Linked DNA regions of Drosophila melanogaster. The protein of the gene in region 1 interacts with the protein of each later gene in a pairwise test. Each region holds a gene or a part of one and is shown in the gene's direction. Other genes may lie near its edges.

Region 1 (5,199 bases):
GCTTTTCAGCCACCCGTTTCCCCCCTGTATTTAAAAAGTCCCCCATTTCAGAATGACCACCTCCCCCCCCCCCCCCACTCCACCTTTGAGGGAGCCCCTCTCAACCAACCGCCTCATTGGTTATGCCAATTGCAAAAAGTCCTGGGCAACAATTGAAATTGCCGGACTCGTTGATGAGACTTTAAGCTCTGGCTGCAGTTGAAACCCCGCCCCTAATTACGTATTACCAGATGACTGCCATTAAGTGTTCCACAACCCCCCGCCCCTCACTCCGCACCCCTTCCCCTGACCACAGCCCCTCTTTTAAAGCTGAATCATCTTAAAGTGCTGGACAACAAGGACGCACCATTAAATCCACTGAATGCTCCACATTTCGGTTGGCTTTGGTTTGTTGATGTTGCCAGTGTTGGGTGGGCATGGCCCAAGGGTTGGGGGGCTGATTCCTGCGGGTTATATAAGCGTTGGCGCTGCTTCTGCACCCATTAGCTGATACGGCGGATCAGCGCGAGGGAGGAGGAATCCAAACCCAAGCCCAAAGCCAAAGCCAGACCAGTCGCAACCGCAGACCCACGTGAGTGACCGGCGACGACTAGACAGTGCGAGTCCATGCTTGGATGCATACATACATACATACATATGTATGTGTGCGTCTGGATGTGACCCACGGCGATGGCCCCTGAAACCAGGATGCACCTAGCCCAGAAGCAACCCTCCTGCGTTCGCCGCCCCTGGCTACCCTCGAAAAACTGCCGCATTGTGTGGCCAGAAAGCGAAACCGCGACTGCAACTGGCCCTGCAATAGAAAATGCACTGCAAAAAAACTGGGAGTATGTATTTAAAGTACTTGATAAAGTTGGATTATTAAATAACACAATTAAATTTAATATTAATAGAGAAGTAGTATTCTTATCAAGATGAGAACTAAGGAGCTATGTTAATCTTGAACCAGGTGTGGCCAACTTTATTTTTCACAGTGTGGCAAGGATAAGCAAAGCGACCAGAAAAGTATAACCAGCAAAGATGGACCCATGGAGAACGGATGCGAATCGAGAGCGGAAAGCGTGACAGATAGATGGGTTGGAGCAGCAAGGGGTTAATGAAGGAGGGCATTTAGTTCGTGGTACTGTGGAAATGATTAAAATGTATTAGGTGAAATTAAGTTGGCCAAACAGAGAAATGGGGGGGGGGGGTTTAAATAAAGAGGCCAAAATGAGGTTAAAACGTTGCACAAAGCCAAATGGAGCCTGGCTGGGCGAAAACAAATTCATTAGGCTGCAGTGGCATAAAAACATCATACCCACAAAAAGAAGATGCACAACGAAAACCGAACAAAGTTGATTTAAAGTATTATAATCTGCAACATTTTTGCGTATTTCGAGAATGCAGCTTGTTTACCCAGTTTGAAGTCAAGTTAGACTTATCTCTGGTTAATTGGTTTGCTCGAGAGCAGGGCGCGCAAAGCTGCTGGGAAATCGTGGAAAAATCGTAAAGCTTAATAATGACACTCCCCACACAGCCCCTACCACCAGTCCAGCATTGGGAATTCACAAGCCACTGTAAACAGGTGCAAACGTTGCGTTGCACAGCAATTTCAGCAACCCCTCTTAACTTTTGCGCCCAGCTTTCCACGTTTTCCCTTGTTCAAATAGTTGTAAATGGGCGAAAATGCAAACAAAAAACAGTGATCCACTTGAAAGGCAAAACAAGAAAAATCATTCAAAGAGGCAACAATGCTGGGAAAACAAAAGGAAAACGAACGAAAACGAACTGCAAAGACAGCGACCACTAAATAAGTGAAGTGCGTGGACGACTGGACGAGTGGAAATGCGGAAAAGTGGGAAAGCGGAAAAGCGCGCGCAAGAAATTTGCAATGTGGCGAATAAATAAAGGATCAAGCGATTCCCCCATTCAAATTGGCGAATATTGGGCGGTTAAATGGAGATACATGCACGGATGTAAGGCAACTCGAAAAGGTGGCACAACAAATGAACGAGATAACTGGTTAACCACGAGTTGTAAACGCGCAAGCTATTGTTATTAGTATGTTAAAAAGCGGAATAAACTTTTTGTGTTTAACTACAGCTCCATGAAATATGTATATGCTATATGTAACAAACAATAAGCGAGAAAGTTTGTCGGCAACAAAAAAAAAAGTAATAACCATTATGATATTATGAATGCAATTACATTCTTGACGACTCGAAAGAATTTTAAATGTATAAATTATAACGAGATAAAAAAATAAAATATAAATCAAATTTACTTAACATTTATAACATTTCTAGTGCAATATTTACTTTCACTATATGGGTTAATAAAATAAACTTGCCTGTTTCTCGATGTTAAACCCCATTACTTCCAATTGGCCAATCGATTAGAAATTCAACAAGAGTTTGCCAAGATCTGAGTCACTTGAGGTCGGGCTTCTTATCTGGCCATGTAGGTATATTCCCGATAAGCCCTATCAGCGACATCGAGGCGGAAACACAAAAAGACCATCAAATCGACCACTTTCACAGTTGAAAGTCAGAGCTGCTGAAGAACGGACAAGAAAATGGCAGGTAAATAGGTCGTAAGGCCAAGATGCCATAACAAAAAATGAAAACATTTAACTAGGTGGATGATATAAAACAGTTACCAATCTTTAAAGTACTTAATCAGTTGAAACTCAAAATAAATTAATTCAATTTTGGAAACTAACTTGGCCTAGCCAAATAAACTAGTTTACTTGCCATGAACAACAGAATTAAAGAGTTATACCATTCGGTGTGCTGTTAAATAATCGTTTCATTTTTCCATTATCCCCCAGACCACAGATGGATGCACTTCAGCAACGGCAGCGTGCCGCCGAATGCCGTGGTGGCTGGTCACGATTCGGACGGGGACACCATCTACGTGGGCCGTGCCTTCTTCTCCAACGACATGCTGCCGGCGAAGGTGATTCCCAACAAGGGCAAGGCCTACGTGGCGTATGCGCGCGAGGAGCACGAGCTGGAGAACTACGAGGTGCTTTCCGGCTACAACTACGAGTGGCTGTCGGCGGAGAACGGGGAGGTGCCGCCGGGCGCCGTCAAAGTTGGTCGGAATGTGGACGGCGAGTATTTGTATGCGGGCAGGGGTTATCATGCCGGCAGCTTAACCATGGGCAAGGTGCATCCATCCCACGGCTGCCTGTATATTCCCTACGATTCCGATGAGGTTAAGATCTTTGCCTACGAGGTGCTGTGCCAGCCGGAACGTTGGATCGACACCACCGCAACAAATATTCCGGATGGAGCTCTGGTTGCTGGGCACGATTCCAACGGGGACACCATCTACGTGGGCAGGGTGTTCCGCAATGGTGATCTGCTGCCAGCCAAAGTGGTGCCGGCGAAGGGGAAAGCCTATGCCGCCTATGCCCAGGCGGAGCACGAGCTCACCGACGTCCAGGTGCTGACGGGATCCGGATTCCGTTGGGTTCCGGCCTCGCACGGAAATGTGGCTCCCGGAGCCCTGTCCTCCGGTCCGAATGTCGACGGGGAGCCCCTCTACGTCGGCAGGGCCATCTACTGCGACAGCTTGAGTGTGGGCAAGATCCATCCCTCGCACGGCTGCATCTACATCCCATTCGGTGGCGAGGAGGTGCGTCTGGAGAATTACGAGGTTCTGGTGAGGATCTAGACGGACAGCTTTGCCTTTATTCCATTTTTTTTTTAATAAATCTATTTTTTACACACACAACAGAAGTATACAGATTAAAGTATAAATTTAAGTTTAATTCGATCGACATCGAGCAACGTAACTGATAAAATTTATGGTAATGCACCCAGTAATTCTAAAAAAAAAGTACCCCTTTCATAGAGTTTTGGTGATAATAGTTCAAAGTGGTTGTCATAGAAATTTCGAGGTATTGCGGATGTGAGGAATTTCTTCTATATGCGGGCCTTATGTTATCACATCGGTTATCAATTAGCAACAATCAATTGATTAGTTGGCCATAAATTTGCGTCAACTTGTAACATAATTAACCATTTGCCTTCGCCCACTGACTTAACAAACACTGCATCGTAAAACTCAGACAGATATCGCAGTTATCAGAATGTGTACATATATGCACTCGATGCTTTATAACTCGACCTTTCGTCTGCCGAGGTAAAAAGTTATAGGTATCGAAACTCTTTGTAACTTTCTTTGTATATTGAAAAGTTTATTAAAACGTTTCATAAAGTTAAAGTCAATTCATTAGTGGCGGGCGTAGCGTTTTATTTCATAGCTTATTAATGTGCACACGTTGTAATCAATACATGTTTTAAGCACTTATTTGACAGCACAAAGTTTCCCATGGAAATACTTTTTTTCGCAATTTATTTTATAGGAAAGTTGCTAAAAGGCCTTAATCTTAACACTATCATTGGCGCCACCTATGAGATGATTATCTGCACTAACCGTGGCGCCACCTATGACGAGCTGGAGAAAGTCGAGCCGTAGCAGTTTGCCTAACCGCCGACAGCTGGCGATTTAAGCTTTCGACTGGTTCCTGTCTTGGCTAAATGCATTGAGCTTTCTTTTCCAGTGTGACCGTTCCAGCGTAGTAACCAAACACCACGCCACACCATTGCGCCATACAGATATTTTAGGTAATTTCAGCGACGCCGCAGTCGACGTGCAGCCCGCTGCGCCCGACGGTCACACTCTGCCCCCAAACAGCTCCAAAATCGGTTGTCGTCGCGAAAAGTGCGAATCGAGTGCATATTTGCTGCAAAAAGAAGCGAGAACACGGTGACGTGACGAAAGCATTCGAGTGACGAAGAGTGCGAGCGCGCTGCATTTGTTTACGATTCCGATTCCGATGCCATTGGTCAATTGGTAAGGGGCTTTGGGAAGTGTAAGAGGAAGAGCGTGCGGCGCGGCAAGTAACGAAAGAAGAAGAAGCAGCAGCAGCAGGGCACACGCAACGTGCAACATTGTGTGCGAGCGTGTGTGCGTGTTTGTTTGTTTGTGTGACAAAAATACAACAAGTGCAAGCAACAATAGTTAGCGGCAGCAACAACAACAGCACCGAAACTCCTTGCCAGAACGAGACAGCAATAACAACAGGAGTGCGAAAGCGGGAGAGAAAGAGAGACAGCTGTTATTGTTGTTGTTGTTGCTTTACAATGTTTAATGGGAAACCTGCCGCCAAAACAACAACAAATCAGGTAAATATGCCGCTTAGCCAAT
Region 2 (4,930 bases), 410 kb from region 1:
TCTAAAATACGTTTTGATCTACATTTGGATATATTATTGTAGGGTTTTAGCTGACCAATCTAACAATGTGAAAGGCCAGCGTTTGAGTCATCTCACAATATTTCATAATTTATACTTTAAAATTATGTGTTTTAGTAAGTTCCATAGTTCTGCAATCCTTTGATGCTGTTGATTTAAAATTGTATAAAACGCATTTTCAGTTGATGCTTCTTAACTTAACGATTTACGCACAAGCTTTAAACGGTTTAGACTACAACACAGGATTAATATCACTAGTAAACTAAAGACGGACTCGGATTACTACGTCTCGGGCTAGACCTCAAGCTATAGGCGGAATGTGCAACCTTTACTCCTTTTGCTGATATAGGATCAATTTCGCTTCTTGCGATTGGCAGCAATGGAAGCGGATGAGCTGTTGCCCGTATCCGGGGTCTCGCTAATGGACAGACCCGTGTCCAGCCGACTCTTGTCAACCGGATACAGCCAGCGCTGATACAGATAGATAATAAACACAATATCATCGCGCAGGCAGGCCACCCGATGGGCCGTGGGCATGGTGATGATGAAGGCGAAGAAGTCGTCGATGAAGGTATTAAATGCTTTATACATAAATGCGCGCCACGGCAATGCGGCCACAGACTTCAGCTTGTAGTTTACAAACAGTTGCGGCAACATGAACAGGAAACCGAAGGCGTAAACTCCGTTCACCAGTGAGTTAAGTGTCCATGAGTACCAGGAGCGGTGTGGTTGGTAGAGGAGCGAATAGACCGCTCCGCATATACAAAGCGGATACAGCAGATAGCTCAGATATCGCATGCCCTGTCTGTCAAACTGATCAGTCTTCTGCTCCTCCGCCAGCTGACCTGACTTCACGCCAGCTTGGTCACCATTCCGCCGGTCAACTTGCTCCAGCTTGCGACGAACCAGGCCACTGAAGCTAAGCTCCAGACGGAAGATTTTCTTGCACTTCCACAGCTCAATGAGCGTGCCCAGGCCAACTGGCACAAGTACCAGATACGACGTATTCTCATCTAGCAGATAAAAAAAGATCACGATCTGCGAAAACGCTCGCCACATTGTGGTGCGGCTTGATAGCCCCTCGTACGACTGCTTTTTGCGCCAAAAGGCCACGTCGTTCTTAAAGCTTAAAAAGTCGAAGAGCATCTGCGGGAAAAGGGAAACATAAATTAGTTATAGGACTGGAGCATATGACGTATGTTGCAATTTTTCAATCTCTACTCACATGGATGCTGGACACAAAGATGGTGCCACACAAAAGGTATACATTGGTGTCCGAAAAGATGCCTTTCACCTCGTCAATATCCTTGGTAGCAAATCCAATGGTGAGCAGCGCCTGGGTGGCGTGTTCCATGAGCAGCATTAGACGGAGCTTGCCCACGCCCACGGGCTTGTAGTGGAAGCTGAATGTGAATTCGGTGGTATTGCGGGTGACGGGCACTAGATCCTTTAGCCGCGTATTAAATGTATCAGTCTGCAGGATGGGCAAGATCTGTTGATTGCGATTGACACGTATCAAGGGGGCCATTTCAGGTGGGACATCCGCTTGCGAAACGGAATAGAGATCGTTGAGCAGGGTGACGTAAACATTCGATCGGATGTGGGTGCTGGGACGTCCAGTGGTGGAGGCTTTCTTCTTTTCTTTCTCCTGGACAGCGGCTGCTGCACCTTTCTCGGAATCTCCAAGCAGTTTAAAGGCCTCCGCCCGCGGCACTATGTAATCCGTGAGACTCATCGTATGGACAACGGTGGGCCCATCTCTGCGCAGGCTACGCCATTCCAGTGGCTCACCCTCCAAGGCCAAGACCACATGAAGATACAGGGAGCCATTCCGGCGCGTCCTCAGCGGCACATCCACTTCGAAGTCGTGCTCAAAGTTTTGATCATAGTCGAACCTCTTGGCCTTGTACAGATCCCGCACCTCGGTGGCAATGGGACTTCTGCTGAGGGAGGAAAACAATGCCAGTTGCAGGCGTGGCCTGTCCGCCAGGAATGATGTGTAGCACGGCACACCGCTGCATTGCAGCGTAGTGAAGAGCTGCGACATCTGGTAGATGGAGTGGCCGATGTACGCCAGAAATGCAACGCCTAGAAGCGTGGAGATCGAGGGCAGGGCCATGTCCTCCTCTTACGGTTTTCTCGTTGGTGCGTTGGCCGGCGTTTTATTGGTATTGGCACTAGAGCCGGCAAAACATTAAAAGAAGCTATCGATAGTTCCGGCAGTATCGATGATCTAAAGCTTCAAAAACTATCGGTTTTTATTGTCCCTAACGGTCGTTCCTAGCACGTGTTTCCAAACTATCATTCCCATCCCAACGTGATACATGTCAAAAAATTAAATTTAACTAAAAGCAATGGATTCCAGGATGTGCCGTGTCTGTTTGAGGGAGATGGAGAACATGCTATGCATCTTCGAAACGATGCCGCTACCCGGCGTTTCCCTAGCGACCATGATTTCCGATTGGTGCGGCTTCCCGGTTCTACCGAAGGATCCTTTTCCCAAGACCATTTGCCAGTCTTGTGCGCTGGATGCGCAGACTGCTTACGGGATGGACAGCGTGCAGGTGATTGAGCAGGATGAGATGGTGGTCAGTGAGATGAATTATGAGGAAGAAGGATCGAATGACTCCGATGTTGAACTGATTGAGCCAGTCGATGGCAGCCAGGAGATGGAGACAATTGACTTGACAATCGATTCACCGGGGGACAACGTGGAGAATATGTGCCCCAACTCAAACTCCAACGGGAATGGCAATGTGAGCCAGAGCAGCGCCCAGAAGGATACCAAGAAGAAAATGCTGAAGAAGACACATAAATGTAACATTTGCGGGAAGTATTTCATGTTACCTGCGCACCTTAAGTGTCACATGTGGGTCCATGCGCGTGAAAAACCTTACAAATGCTTACAATGCTCCCAGTCCTACGCACAAATCCGCGGTCTTAGGCGCCATGAGCGCGTACATAGTTCGAGACCTGAATTACGATCCTACAAGTGTTCCCGATGCCCCAAGATCTTCAACAGAAACTCTGCCCTTAAGAACCACGAGACCATGCACCATAATTAATGCGATCCTACAAGTGTCCCCGATGCCCCAAGATCTTCAACAGAAACTCTGCCCTTAAGAACCACAAGACCATGCACCATAATTAATGCGATCCTACAAGTGTCCCCGATGCCCCAAGATCTTCAACAGAAACTCTGCCCTTAAGAACCACAAGACCATGCACCATAATTAATGCGATCCTACAAGTGTCCCCGATGCCCCAAGATCTTCAACAGAAACTCAGCCCTTAAGAACCACGAGACCATGCACCATAATTAATGCGATCCTACAAGTGTCCCCGATGCCCCAAGATCTTCAACAGAAACTCTGCCCTTAAGAACCACAAGACCATGCACCATAATTAATGCGATCCTACAAGTGTCCCCGATGCCCCAAGATCTTCAACAGAAACTCTGCCCTTAAGAACCACAAGACCATGCACCATAATTAATGCGATCCTACAAGTGTCCCCGATGCCCCAAGATCTTCAACAGAAACTCTGCCCTTAAGAACCACAAGACCATGCACACCATAATTAATGCCAAACCAAGAAGAACGACCATGATGTTAAAAGACTAATGCAACGTGTTACCAAAGTATAGGGAACTTCGAAAAGCGAACACCTCCAAAGAACCTCACAACGATTATACTCATTTTTTGTCAATCCGATATATGATCGTTGGAATAAATACTAAACGCTGGGACACTGTATTTGGTAGCAGTTTTTATTTAAAGGTTTATGTATAACAATATACAGCATATAGTATATACAACATGATTTCATAAAATTAGGTACTAGAGTTTTATATAATTATAACTATGAAGTACTATGTATAACTCTCTCTCTTCGTCACGCGCGAAATTTCCAAACCTTTGGAATAAATTAAAGGACTAAAATGTACACATCATGAAACAAAAATATGATAAAAATAGGTTGAATTGATTTGCACGCTTCAAGTTGCACGTCATGTTTTCCTCGATTTTGATTTGTTTGTTTGTTTTTTTTTTTTAACTTTTATAACTGGAACACATTGTGAGTGAAAAATGTGGTGCAGAGTAATAAGTACATGTATAGATAACGATCCGAAAGAGTCGAGGGTGCAGATGAGTCGATGCTATAAATATGTGGGCATTGTTTGATAGACAAGAAATAGATAACATGACAAAATGGAGGGTATAAATAATCGGAAATGGTCGGATCTCGGCTCAGGACTTAGGCGAGGCGTTTCTTTCGACTAGGCGAGAGGATCTTCAGCATTGTGACGACGGGCGCCTCGAAGGACATCGACACCACGAAGGACAGGAAGTAGGAGGCCACCGTCAGACCGAAGAACATGACAACCTGGAATAAGCAATAAATAAGTTATGATAAACCCTTTTCGTTGTATAACCAATTTAATAGATTTTGTTTTCTTAGACAGCGATTCTACAGCGACTTCATCTTCCAACTCACCATCAGATCCCCGCCCAGGTGAAGCGGCGCGTCCGAATTGAGCGCCATGGAGCGGATGACTATCGGGTGGACCAAGTAGGCGCAGTAGGTGACGCGGGAGAAAGGATAGAGGCAGGGCGCCGAGAGCAGCGAGTTGATGTAGCCGCCGTAGCCCGTGGAGCAGGCGATGGTGATCCAGGCCAGTGACAGCGCCCAGGCCGAATGGCTGAGCGAACTGTAGGCGGCGGCGGTGAACTGTGACAGGTCGGCCTTGTACAGCCCGAAGACCAGGACGAACAGATTGAGCATGGCCAGGGTCCAGGCGGTTGCCACCGTCAGCTTGGGCAGTCGGATCTTGCAGTTGGTCCTGAATAGAATCCAGCCCACGGCCATGCCGATCAGATAGGGACCCAGGCGGGTCCATGGCTTGTCGTAG
Region 3 (4,482 bases), on another chromosome or scaffold:
TGCTTGCTGGCCGTTTGATATGCACAGCTGTTGGATGTTTGGTTTTTCGTTCTTATCTGTTTTGATTTGAGATACCCTCGATTCGGATTGCCTTTGCGATCTTTTGTCTTACGTGTTCCATCTGGCCAGTCCGTCTCATTCCGGTTTTCTTGCGTACGTAGTCAAAAGTTTGTGGTTCTCAAGAGCGATAATGGCCCTCTGATAAGGAGTCGACCTGCCACCGTTCAATAGACTCTGTCGTACAGTCAAACCTCCGCCGCAAAACGTACCTTTTTGAAATCTTCGAATTTCCAGCATCTCTATTTTGAACATTGCTAGCGTATTTTTGCAGAGATCTTCAAGCAAAACATATTGGTTCCAAAAGTAACTTAATTAAAAAAGCCATTTCTAAATGAGCGTTGTATATGTTTTATAGGTAGAAAGATTAGAAGTGTTATCTTGATATAACATTTATATTAGCTGAAACATTGAATTCCAATTCTAGTGCTTGATATTGCAGAAATTAATAAAAGATCTATAAAATCAGTTCGCGATGTTCGTCTTGAACAATTCAAACTGTAGACGTTTATATGGTGGCCATCTTGTAACATTGTAGCCATCTATCGCTCGCGAATGGGACGGCACTCTTTACTGGGGTTTTGTCTTTATGTACTCGTGTGTCCGGCACTGATTAGTGGCTCTCCCTTATCGCATATGCACACATATGCTCTCCGCAATGCCAACTTCTTGCGATCACCTTTGAAAATATGCTGACGAAGGCAGGAGGCAAAACGAAAAGCGCAGCGAAAAGTTAACTAGTGGGCATATCTGGGAATAATGAAATACAAGCGACTGATTACACACGAGTGGCGGCTTATAATTATATTGATTTTAATATAAGTTTTAGAGAGACTCATTCAGTCCTCCCAAACAGCAGAAGCCGGAGCACGTAAGCACCGGCGATCTAGCGCCAAAATTAGTTAATATTGGAAAGTGTGCGATTTGGGGGGGATTAAATATCGTAGTTTATGTGATTTGTACAATCGTTATTATCTCTGCATGCCGCGTGTCAAACTTGTGTTATAGATAATCAAAATCCATTTTCGAATTCGATTCGTTTGTTTTGCCACGTTGTTTGTTTCTGTGATTTTGTTTGCCCCCCCAATAGCATGCTGAAATGCAGAAAGTAGAACCATAAACCGAATACCATGATTTCCTATATACCATCCATTCAGACGCGAACCGCTAAAAGCCAAAGAGCCCACAGAACCCAGCCCGTAAATTAAAGCCCCAAACAGAGATTAGATCATGGCTGAGGATCCGGTGAACCAGCAGGCATTCGCTGAGGACGTGGCAGCTGCCGCTGCGGCTGGAGGAGCCGGCGGTTTTGCCGGTCCCGAGCCCGGACATCCCGACTTTAAGATGCCCAGTGCCGAGGAGATCTGGAAGCTGGTCGAGGGCATGGAGGGAATTTCGGACGACGAGCGAGCCGAGCTCCGCGAGAGCATCTTTAACCCGAAGCCGCCGTCGCCGGAGGACTTCATGCGCCAGTACGGGCATCCGGGCCACAGTTCCCGGGAGTACCTGGTGTTCTTCGTGATGCTGGCCCTCATACTCATTGTCTTTGGTAAGCGTCCTCCGGAACGAGCCACTAACGAGTCGTATAACCCTTATCGGGCGCGATATACGCACCCACCTGGGTTTCTGCTTAAAGGGCGATAAGGTTTTAGGAGGCGGCTATGTCGAAGCACTCACTCACTCGCTCACGAGCCACAGCTAGAATGTTTGCTTCGTTTAAAAGCGTTCGATTTTTGATAAGATAACCAGTGGTAAGCGTAGGATCCACCGCAGACATAGGTAGAGTGGAATCCAAAGAGCAGTATTTGCCAGAGACCCATGCCGGGCTGTAGTTGACACACCACTTAGCCCCTTTTCCGAACAACCCAAAACATGAGTTGGTCGGGTTCCAGTGACGAGCTCGGGGTTATTGAGCAGCTGAAAAAGTCCGTGGAGTCGATCGTGGCCAAAACTGGGCCCAGCAGCAAGTTCTCCAAGGATCTCGTCCAGCGGATCGGCGAGATGCAGAGCAAGCTGGAGTCCCTGGCCGAAACGGATCGGCATGTGTTTCTCGCCGAGATGAAGGACAAGTTCCAGCAGACGATTGGCAGAATCGAGGAGCGAATAGTGCAGCACGCCCATTTCGCACAGACCTACTCCAGTTCCATAGTGTCGGCAGTGATCTTTCTCTTGGTCTCCATATTCGGTCTCAGTTCCCTTGATCGCATAATGTATCAACGTCACCTTACTAACCGTCTCCCTTCTTTCCGCATTACAGCTCTCTTTGGCTACAAGCTGTACAAATCCCTGACGGAAAAGGAGCTCAAGAAGCAGGAGAAACTGAAGAGCAAGCAACAGAAGAAGGCCAAGAAGTCAAACTGAAGGAGATGGAGGCGAGGATATCATTGACGTAGTGCACTTTCCGGCCCTGAGACCTTCCATCTTGTTAATCAATACAATCGCCCTGTAAATGACTAAATCATAAACCAGTAAACGTAATAAAATAAAACGTACCCCATAACTCTTTTAAATGCCACGGTAATTGTGTTGTTACGACGAGTCGAATTAATTGCCATTAAAATACGGCATCAGGAAATGCAAATCGGTGTCGTGACCTAACTTGTTGCTGCCATCTAGGCAATCCGTCCAATCCTGGCCTCCGTTGTCATGGGAAACGGGGTCGTTTTGTCGAAGCTTCTCCTGTCAGGCCAGCTATTAATAGTTAAATTCAGTTTCCAGTTACCCAGTTAAGCAGCAACACTCGGAAAGGATCAACAATTTTTGCGGAAATAAAAAACATGTCCTATTCCAGCCGTAAGTTAAAAGCTCAACCATGACTTATCTATTAATCTAATGTGTCAACATGCCCTTCTAGGATTTGGTTTCGACTTCCATCTGCCGGATGAGGGATGGTGCTACCCGAAGAACGACATGCATTTCATCCGCAGCGCGGAATGGGTGCCCGTGGAGAAGGCAGGCGTGGGCCGCTCATTCGCCAATCCCAATGGCGTGATCTATCCGCGGGTGGTAGGCATGATTCCACGCTACGGCGGCCACGTTCCGGGCAACAAATTTCGTGTGGGCAACACCTATGGCCGTTCCACCATCGACGCCAAGCGTCATCTGGCCCTCAATCATGATTGAGGACCGAGTTATCGGAACACTCACTCACCATTAGCCAATCAAATTCGCTGTGTTACGCTTACAGAAGCACCCGAAATAAATCGTATCCAGTAGAAGCCTGTAGAAAATGGCAAATAGAAATAAAATCATACAAATTCAAATGTCCAAGAAAAGCACATTTAATTTATGATGGCTTTTTCGAGCAATAAAATTAATTAAACTTTAGGTCACAAGATAAGAATATATTCGTTATGGTACACAAGGTGCCAAAAACACTTTTCTCCTAACAAATATCAAGAAAAGTAACTATAATTATTGATCGCACGCGAAAAATTTTAAAATAAAATCTCAAAAAGTATTTATTTCATTTATTATTTGACTTTTAGTACATTTATTACAACATTTCTGTAAATGCTTCAATATTTTTTTATAATAATAAATACTTCTTGTTAATTTTCAATATTTTTAGAAATGAAAGGAGTGATATGTATATTTAAACGCCTTATGAGAGTATCAAGTATCAAAAAGGCGCGCAATTTAAATTCTTGCTCCGCTGCAACTGTCTGTATAACAATATTAAAACATCCTTACTTTCCTAGCTTTCTATTACTAATGTACTGTCGGTGCTTGGGGTCATATATTTTTAGATTTTTCATAGGAATTTTCATCTCAGAAAAATTAAATTAAACCGAAATCACGTAGTGTTACCATAACGCAATGAGAGCAAATACTCTGTTTTGTTTGGATTCCGTTGGGTATTTTGGGGACTGCTGGCGAAAGTCTTTCGAGAGATAACGAGTAAATAAGAAATCATCGTTAGCAAAAAACTTTTTTGAGAAGATCACCTAGCAAACCGACTGATTATCTGTAAGATACGAAAACGAGCTGCTTTCCCAGTAGCAGAGATCGGCGACTGATCCACGATGGGCATCAATTGCCTTAACATCTTCAGACGTGGCCTCCACACGAGTTCCGCCCGATTGCAGGTGATCCAGAGCACCACGCCCACCAAGCGGATATGCATCGTAGGCGCCGGACCCGCCGGCTTCTATGCCGCCCAATTGATCCTCAAGCAGCTGGACAATTGCGTGGTGGATGTGGTCGAGAAGCTGCCGGTTCCCTTCGGACTGGTGCGGTAAGCAGAACAATCTTTATAAGGCGGTGCTGTTGGCTGCCAGGCCAAAGCCAAATATTGGACCCACTACGGAGCGGAAGATGCCAGTGAAGTATGCTGAAGAGATCGACATGTGTGTAATCCTTGCCAGAAATCCAGGGGTAATGTAAACATACCTCCCACCTGGTCAAGACTCCACAGGGGATTGG

Evidence for each region. Proteins that work in one complex are often made in the same cells at the same time.
Region 2: the proteins of CG32633 (region 1) and CG4318 interact in a two-hybrid assay, tested with the Drosophila melanogaster proteins (one large-scale study listed by BioGRID).
Region 3: the proteins of CG32633 (region 1) and CG18336 interact in a two-hybrid assay, tested with the Drosophila melanogaster proteins (one large-scale study listed by BioGRID).

Annotation. Positions count from the first base shown.
Region 1 is NC_004354.4:13,559,157-13,564,355, forward strand, and holds CG32633 (uncharacterized protein), read left to right. Parts: upstream 1-2,514; 5' UTR 2,515-2,554; coding exon 2,555-2,561; intron 2,562-2,809; coding exon 2,810-3,660; 3' UTR 3,661-4,203; downstream 4,204-5,199.
Region 2 is NC_004354.4:13,152,303-13,157,232, reverse strand, and holds CG4318 (uncharacterized protein), read left to right. Parts: upstream 1-2,308; 5' UTR 2,309-2,372; coding exon 2,373-3,083; 3' UTR 3,084-3,772; downstream 3,773-4,930. Other genes in the region: CG4332 (uncharacterized protein), read right to left, coding at 370-1,164, 1,244-2,137; CG32645 (uncharacterized protein), read right to left, coding at 4,276-4,404, 4,516-4,930.
Region 3 is NT_033778.4:11,292,618-11,297,099, reverse strand, and holds CG18336 (uncharacterized protein), read left to right. Parts: upstream 1-2,513; 5' UTR 2,514-2,834; coding exon 2,835-2,850; intron 2,851-2,911; coding exon 2,912-3,180; 3' UTR 3,181-3,324; downstream 3,325-4,482. Other genes in the region: CG42336 (uncharacterized protein), read left to right, coding at 1,930-2,418; CG30033 (uncharacterized protein), read right to left, coding at 4,311-4,390, 4,450-4,482; dare (defective in the avoidance of repellents), read left to right, coding at 4,083-4,294.